Linked DNA regions of Canis lupus familiaris. The protein of the gene in region 1 interacts with the protein of each later gene in a biochemical or structural test. Links are inferred from orthologs where the notes say so. Each region holds a gene or a part of one and is shown in the gene's direction. Other genes may lie near its edges.

The links.
Region 2: the proteins of SETD1A (region 1) and WDR82 form a complex in vitro, tested with the Homo sapiens proteins (2 studies listed by BioGRID). The link is inferred for Canis lupus familiaris from reciprocal best matches to the Homo sapiens genes SETD1A and WDR82.

Annotation. Positions count from the first base shown.
Region 1 is NC_049227.1:17,399,452-17,403,254, reverse strand, and holds part of SETD1A (histone-lysine N-methyltransferase SETD1A), read left to right. Parts: coding exon 1-318; intron 319-472; coding exon 473-1,258; intron 1,259-1,599; coding exon 1,600-1,776; intron 1,777-1,906; coding exon 1,907-1,994; intron 1,995-2,704; coding exon 2,705-2,862; intron 2,863-3,025; coding exon 3,026-3,113; intron 3,114-3,803. UniProt on the Homo sapiens protein: Histone methyltransferase that catalyzes methyl group transfer from S-adenosyl-L-methionine to the epsilon-amino group of 'Lys-4' of histone H3 (H3K4) via a non-processive mechanism.
Region 2 is NC_049241.1:37,900,426-37,904,926, forward strand, and holds the start of WDR82 (WD repeat-containing protein 82), read left to right. Parts: upstream 1-1,642; 5' UTR 1,643-1,951; coding exon 1,952-2,112; intron 2,113-2,437; exon of another isoform or gene 2,438-2,571; intron 2,572-4,501. UniProt on the Homo sapiens protein: Regulatory component of the SET1/COMPASS complex implicated in the tethering of this complex to transcriptional start sites of active genes.

The DNA of each region.
Region 1 (3,803 bases):
TCCGGCTCCCCGGCCCCAGAGACCACCAACGAGAGCGTGCCCTTCGCTCAACATAGCAGCCTGGATTCCCGCATCGAGATGTTGCTGAAGGAGCAGCGCTCCAAGTTCTCTTTCCTGGCGTCTGACACAGAGGAAGAGGAAGAGAGCAGCACCACAGGCCCTAGTTCTAGAGACACAGGGAGCGAGGCACCTCCTGGGTCTGGTCACGGGCCCTGCACACCCCCTCCAGCCCCTGCTAATTTTGAGGATGTGGCACCCACAGGAAGTGGGGAACCAGGGGCTCCCCGGGAGTCTCCCAAGGCCAACGGACAGAACCAGGTGAGGTTGGGGTCAGCTGGCAGAGGTACCGGGTTCCGGGAGGCAGGGCTGGGCCCGAGGTGGGGGTCAGGAAATTAGACATGAGAGCGGGTATTTGAGGGAAAGCCCTGGAGCAGACAGAGGCTTTCTGTGACCCTCGTCTGCATCCCTACAGGCTTCTCCATGCTCTTCTGGAGAGGACATGGAGATCTCCGATGACGACAGGGGCGGCTCACCCCCTCCGGCCCCGACACCCCCCCAGCAGCCTCCACCCCCTCCTCCTCCACCCCCTCCTCCTCCTCCATACCTGGCTTCCCTGCCCCTTGCTTATCCTCCCCACCAGCCCGCCTACCTCCTCCCACCGCGCCCTGATGGGCCGCCTCCCCCCGAGTACCCCCCACCTCCTCCGCCACCCCCCCACATTTATGACTTTGTGAACTCCCTAGAGCTCATGGATCGACTTGGGGCTCAGTGGGGGGGGATGCCCATGTCCTTCCAGATGCAAACCCAGATGTTAACTCGACTGCACCAGCTGCGGCAGGGCAAGGGATTGACTGCTGCCTCAGCTGGCCCCCCTGGTGGCGCCTTTGGGGAGGCGTTCCTCCCATTCCCACCCCCCCAGGAGGCAGCCTATGGCCTACCCTATGCTTTGTACACACAAGGGCAAGAAGGCCGGGGGGCATACTCCCGGGAAGCCTACCACCTGCCTTTGCCTGTAGCAGCTGAGCCCCTGCCCTCCTCCTCCGTGTCGGGAGAAGAGGCCCGGCTGCCTCCCAGGGAGGAAGCAGAGCTGGCAGAGGGCAAGGCCTTACCATCAGCAGGCACCGTGGGGCGTGTGCTGGCCACCCTCGTCCAAGAGATGAAGAGCATCATGCAGCGAGACCTCAACCGCAAGATGGTGGAGAATGTGGCCTTTGGAGCCTTTGATCAGTGGTGGGAGAGCAAAGAAGAGAAGGCCAAGGTGAGGGACAATGCCTGGGACTGAGGAACTCTTGGGGCTTTGCTGGAGAGAGTAGATTTCTGGCTTATATGGCCCTTAAGTCTCAATGAGCTTGGATTTTCAACATTTCCGTTTGTAGAGTGGGAATGATAGCTGCTTTGTAAGGTGGGTGGACTGAATGAGCAGACTTTGGAGAAAATGCCTGTACAGGGGCTGGTGCAAGGGAGGTGTGGCATAGATCTGTGTCAAATAGAGGAGTGAGTAGATGCATTTCTGTATTCTTGGGACCTGGGAGTAGTTCTCAGGCAGGAGGCAGGAGGGAGCGCCTAGGTTCTGGGGCTCAGTCCCCCTACTGCCTGCAGCCATTCCAGAACGCAGCCAAACAGCAAGCCAAGGAGGAGGATAAAGAGAAGACAAAACTCAAAGAGCCGGGCCTGCTGTCCCTCGTAGACTGGGCCAAGAGTGGGGGTACCACAGGCATCGAGGCCTTCGCCTTTGGGTCAGGGCTGCGAGGGGCCCTGCGGCTGCCTTCTTTCAAGGTACTCAGAGCTGGTCTCGCCTCATAGGGAGGAGAGGGTGTGGTGGGGACCTCCCTTCCTTGGGGGAGAGGTGGTTGGGATCTGTGACCGTTTGAGTTCGAAACCAGCCCTATCTCTTCCCACACCCCAGGTAAAGCGAAAAGAGCCTTCGGAAATTTCAGAGGCCAGTGAGGAAAAGAGGCCCCGTCCTTCCACTCCAGCTGAGGAAGATGAAGATGGTGAGTGAGGGGTCAGGTGGGAGGAGACAGGAGAGGGTGCCTGCTGCTGATAGGAATACAGGAGGCAGGGACAAAGGGGGAAGGTGTCTGGGGGCAAGTAGCCAAGTAGAGAGATTGAAGTAAAGTGCTGAGAAGTATGAAGAGCTTAAGAGAGGGTCATCCTTGAGTCCTAGTTGTGGTTCTCACTGTGTGCTGATAGAAGTTTCCTGTATTTCATTTTTCCAATGGAAAGTGGAAATGGTTAATTTCAACATCTAGGATCTTAGGGTTTCAAGGTTAAACGGGTCACTTACCCAGGTTTCCCATCCAGTGCTTAAGCTCTTCTCCAGCCTTCCTTCCACTTTTGTCTAAGTCTGAGCTGTTGGTTGATGGCTTACATGGCTAGGAAACTTCTTAGTCTGATTGGCTTCCCCAGAGACCCTTGGGCCTTAGTGCTGTTTTCTTGGGGCAGGCTCTCTCTTCCACCTAACCCAGAGAAGGATAAAAGGTTACACGGGTGCAGTGTGGCCAAGCTATAGAACTGTTAGGTAGCTCTGAGGTTTTTGTGTTCTCCTGTGGAACTTCACCTTCTTGTCTGTCAAATGAGGTTTGTCTTGTTGGACCGTTGGGAAGATCAGCAGTGGTGGGTGCAAAGCTCCTTTCAGGCCAGGGGAACAGGAACTGTTACTACTGATGGTAAATTGCCCTAACTGCCACTCCACTGGGTCTAGACCCTGAGCGAGACAAGGAGGCTGGAGAGCCCGGGCGTCCGGGGACCAAGCCCCCAAAGCGAGACGAAGAGCGAAGCAAGACCCAGGGCAAGCACCGCAAGTCCTTTGCTCTGGACAGTGAGGGGGAGGAGGCTTCCCAGGAGTCCTCCTCCGAGAAGGTGAGGGGCCATGACGCCCAGTCCCTGCCAGAAGCCTACTTCCTGAGTTCCCGTCCCCATAGCTGCTTCCTCTCTGGGCTGGAGCCTAGGCAGCGGTGCCTCCTGGAGGACCATTGTCCTTTACTTGTTAGTCCCTATTTTTTGTCCTTTTTTTTTTTTTAAGGAGGAGGAGGAGGAGGAGGAAGATGAAGAAGATGAAGAACGTGAGGAGGCCATGGACGCTGCAAAGAAGGAGACGGAGGCGTCTGATGGTAAGTACAGGCAGGAGGGGAGGATTCTGGCTTGGGGAGGAAGGGATTCCACTGCCTTCCTCGCCCTTTCCTGAGTCCACACAGAAACTTCATGCTGGATTTATTAGCCACCTTTGCTCCTTCCAAAGTAACTGTCTCTTAGCCCCATCTCTTGGAACCCTTGGCCTATTGTAAACAGTTAACTCTGATGTTCAACAGTTCCCTTCTGCTTAGCTTCTGTACTGACATGTGGCTGTCCCCTGAAGACCACCCAGCAGAACTTCCTTACTTTTCCCAACTCCTCAAGACGTGGGGTCCCGAGTTCTCCTGCTACCCCGCCCCCCTGATACTACCAGACTGTGCCTTTCTGCCTTCAAAGAAGAAGGCCCAGCCACCAAGCCGTGCTTCCCCTTCCTCTCCTCTCCCCTTAGCTGCCATCACCAGATACGACTCCACTCTTCAGTTGAACACCTGTTTGTCCATATGCATCCATTGAGTCTTGAGTACATAGTTTAGTCTTGTTTCTCGTCCATTTGTTCAGAATTAGCTCTTGAGCCCCCACTCGGTACTGGTAACCATTCTGGGTATTGGGGACACATCTTTTATGGGACTTGGGATCAGTTGGAGGGGAGGAGGAGACTTGACAGATGAACAAATAGTAGCACCTCGGATAGAGATACGTAGTTTAAAGAAGAGAAACTAGGTTACTGG
Region 2 (4,501 bases), on another chromosome or scaffold:
CCAGGGTTTCTGTTTTGTTTTTTACCATTCATTATTCAGGTTATACTTGGATCTCTGAATATCACATCTTCCTAATACAGCTGATTTTAATGTTTAAGTCTTTCCTCTTCCTTTTTCTTCCTCTTTAGCCACTGCAGTTTAGTGAAGCAAAATAAACAGGCCTGTCTCCATTGTTAAAGACCCCAGGCAATTAGTCTTTGAAGAGTTGCCCACAAGTTAGAGATCTATGAACTCCCATAGGTTGCACTGAGTTTGACCCCTTGCATAGAAAGTTAAAGCCAAGGTGCCTGGTACCTTTTTTTGTGATCAGATATCACTTTCCTTTGTTAGAGACCAATTTTCCTTCCTTTTAAGGCAATGAATCCTTAAACAAACCACTGAGACAACCCCATTGACTACAAAGAGGGTTATGTAACTGTTTTATATCTTGAATGTGGTGGTGGTTGCACAACTCAATATGGGTGTCAAAACTTATAAATCTATCCATTTAAAAGGTCAGGGTTGTTTGTTTGTTTAAGATTATTTATTTATTCTTGAGAGACACAGAGAAAGGGAGGCAGAGAGACCTAGGCAGAGGGAGAGGGAGAAGCAGGCTCCAAGCAGGGAGCCCGATGTGGGACTTTATCCTGGAACTTTGGGGTCACGCCCTGAGCCCAAGGCAGACGCTCAACTGCTGAGCCACCTAGATGTCCCTAAAAGGCCAGTTTTTTTTTTTACTGCACATAAATGATACCTCGATTAAGAACACCACCGCCAATTCGGTTTACTAACATGGAAAAATGTTTAATATATAATACTGACCTAGGAAAAAAAAGATGGTTGCACTTATAAAGTTCACGTAGAGATGCGAAAAAGGAGGAAATCTGGAGAACTTAAAATTGTATTTTGTTGAATAAGGAGATAAAACTCCATTTAAAAAATTTCCATGCAATTGATGCTATGAGTTCTGAGGCTATAAATGTCTTAAAAAGTGCTTACAAGTGTGTGGAGCTGTACACTTAAAATCCGTTCACTTTATGCACTTCATGTTATGTGTCAATTAAAAAGTTTTTAAGGAAGGCTTAAAGAAAACTTCTGGGTAGGAGTCACACAGGTATATATCCAAATTTTTAAAAAAAGCACTTAAACTTTGTGCAGGCTACTGTATATTACACCTCAAAACAAAACCAAACCAAACCAAACCAAACAACCCACCTGAAACTGAAACTATGCTGGCGCTGTAGTGCACGAGCAGTCAGAGCCCGCCAGCCATAGGTCCACTGACTCACCCCCAGAACAGGCCTCCAGTGGCGCAGCCGACCCCCGCAGTACCTGCTCCCCGTGGCCTGCGGAAGGGGGAGCCTCTAGGGGGGGCTGCGATCCTGGGGAAGGGGGAGCCTCTAAGGGGGACTGCGATCCTGCGCAAAGGCTCACGGCTCCCAGGCACAGCTGCCTCCGGGCCCAGCGGGAAGGCGGTGGACAACCGCGCCCCTCGGGCCCCACTGCGCGCCAGAGAATCGCCGCCTTCGGGCACCCCGCCACTCCACTCCGCTCCTGGGCGGCCGCACTGACGTCACCGCCCCACCGGCCCGCCTCGCGCCCCCGCTCCGCCCCGCCCCCTTTCCCGGCGTGCGCCGCGGTAAGGCTCCTCGCCCTCGGCTTCTGCCTGTCGTCCCAAGATGGCGGACACAATGAGCCGGCGTCGCGCCGGTTGGCCCTGAGGCGACCGTGAGGAGGAACGGTCCGCGAGCCCCCGCAGTCTGGCCCGAAGAGCGTCGCACGTGCAGGAGGAGGAAGGGGAGGAGGTGGGCCGACTGTCGGCTGCCCTTACGCTCGCCGCCGGCGCGGCGCCCGCCCCGCCCGGGTCGGCCCCTCGGCAGGCAGTCAGTCCGCCCGCCCGCTCGCCGCCGGGCCCCGCCCCAGCCCTGCGCCGCCGCCGCCGCCGCCGCCGCCTCCTCCAGCCGCCGCCGCCATGAAGCTGACCGACAGCGTGCTGCGGAGTTTCCGCGTCGCCAAGGTGTTTCGCGAGAACTCGGACAAGATTAACTGCTTCGACTTCAGCCCCAACGGCGAGACGGTCATCTCGAGCAGCGACGACGACTCGATCGTGCTCTACGACTGCCAGGAGGGCAAGTGAGTGCGGCGGTGGCCCTGGGCCCGAGCCCGAGCGTGTCGTCGGCCCGTTCCTCCCTCCCTCCTTCTCTTGGCCCAGCGCTCATCCCGCTGTCCGTCCCCTCCCCCGGCCCCGCCGCCCTCCCCCGGCCTGTTTTGCACTCGCTGCTGTCAGGGCCGCTTCCACTCCGAAGCCGCCCGGGAGACCTTTACTTTTCTTTTAAAAATGAGAGTGGTAAATAATATCCTTATCATTTCGTATGACTTCGGCCTCCTGGAAAAACGCTACTGCCTCGCTCTCCAAACCCCACCTTGACCTTGACCTTTAAACGCCCGGTCCGCCCACCTCGGCCCCGGCAGGCAGCTTTTCCGCTCCTCCGACTCTGTCAAAGGTGCCGGTCAGCTCCGACCCCCGCGCAGAACCGCAGAGGCTGCTCTCCTGCCTCAGTCGGCAGCGTCACAGCTCGCTCTGCCCTCCTCGGTGACCTCGATTCAGCCCTGGCACTCCGCCCATCCCCTGCCCCTCAGCTTCCCGCGGCCTTCTGCCGGAAGGCCGCGTGGGTCGTAGTTCTTAGCTGTCAGGATTTATTTGTTGTGCCTCTTTGGGCCTCCTGTCTTTTCCTTTCTGTTCCAAATCATTCTCTTACTCCCTCAGACCCGATGCCCACGTTTAGTTAACTAATGTAGTTAGTGGTAGTTAACTTTTTAACAACATCAGAAACTTTTCCTTTTTGTCAGGAAAAAAACGAACTTGGCCGTCCCATCCCGACCTGAGTGGGAACCTGCTATGAAAACAAAGAATACATTCTAATCTAACAATTTCATGTTTCCTCTTAGACACTTTTTTAAAAATTACACTTTTTAAGGGTCTGAAATTTGTGTTGCCCCAAGTCCTCTGGAGATCCATTGCACCCCATCTCTGTAAAGTCTTAAAAGCACATTTTGCCCTTTTCTCTGGGCATCTTGTCAGCTTCACCTACCCTTTGTAGACCTGCTTTGCTCTCTCCTTGTTAAATTGTGAGCTCCTTTGGAGCAGAAACTGGTTTAGGCTAGATTTTACTTTCCTCAGCCACCTTCCCCAAGTAGGTTTCCAGGTATTTGGTTTAATTCAGTGGCTACTGGTTTTGTCAGATTTCATTTTGTTACCTGGTTGCAGATCTTAGTTTTTGAGTCCTTGAGGTTTTCTATTCTCCCACTTTCCTTTTGCCTTTTATTTTGTTTTAAAACCAGTGCCTTCTATAAACTTTCGTTTGGAACTTATCTCTTCATTTGTGAATTTGGTTATCTAAAGTAATGCTGGTTTGATTTAAGCTGTATCTTCTCCCCAGTTTTTTTCCCCACGAGAGCTGTGAAAAAGTATTATGTAACTGGTTCTGGATCTGCCTGCAGTATATGGAAGACTGGCCTAAGTGGTGGTCCTGGGGAAAGAGAGAATTGTTAGCTGGACCATTATTCATTTAGTAGATGGATTTCTGTTCAGGTCTGGCCACTTGAATCAGCTTGGAAGAGAGTAACATATAAGTCTGCAGTGAGTGTCAGGGTTGCTGGATTCTGAAGCTAAAAGTAATTTGAAGCTGGCTGACTTAATGTTTAGTGCTTGTGCACAGATTAGAACCTCTTCCTGGAACCTGAGGATGGAGATGTATATTCTCATTCAAAGAAAATAAAGGTTGTGACATGTGACAGCATTTCTTAGTTGTCTTCAAATGTGGCATAATATCTACTCGTTGGAAGCAATGACAATGACTTGGAAGTCCTGTCTTGTTAAAAGTAAAATGCCAAAAAAAAAAAAAAAAAAAAGTAAAATGTTAATTTTATGACAGTGCAGTTTATTTACTCATGTAGCAATTTTACATATTACAAACTTACAGAAAACTTAAAACAGTATTTCAAATTTCCCATATCATCTAGTAATTGGCTACATTTTACCCCTTTTGCTTTATCACTCTATGTAAATATTTAGGTGTGCATTTTTTTCTGAACCATTAGAGAATAAATTGGAGGTATCAAGCCCCTTCTCTCTAAACACTTCAACATGGATTTCCTAAGCAAAAGGACATTCTTTTATATAACCAGAGCACGTTATCCAAATTAGAAAATTTAGCATTGCTATAATAGTATAGGGCATGCTCTTTTAAATTTTCTCTTATCAGTGAATTGTGACATTTGGTCTGTGGCAAGAGTGTGGCCTGGTAGTTAGGTGACCTGGGTTCTAGTTTGGCCTTGTGACCAAGTATATGACCGAGGTCAGATCACTTCTCTGAATATTAGACGTCTTACACCCTAAAGAGTCCATGATCTTTTTTTTTTTTTTTAAATGATAGTCACAGAGAGAGAGAGAGAGAGAGGCAGAGACACAGGCAGAGGGAGAAGCAGGCTCCATGCACTGGGAGCCCGATGTGGGATTCGA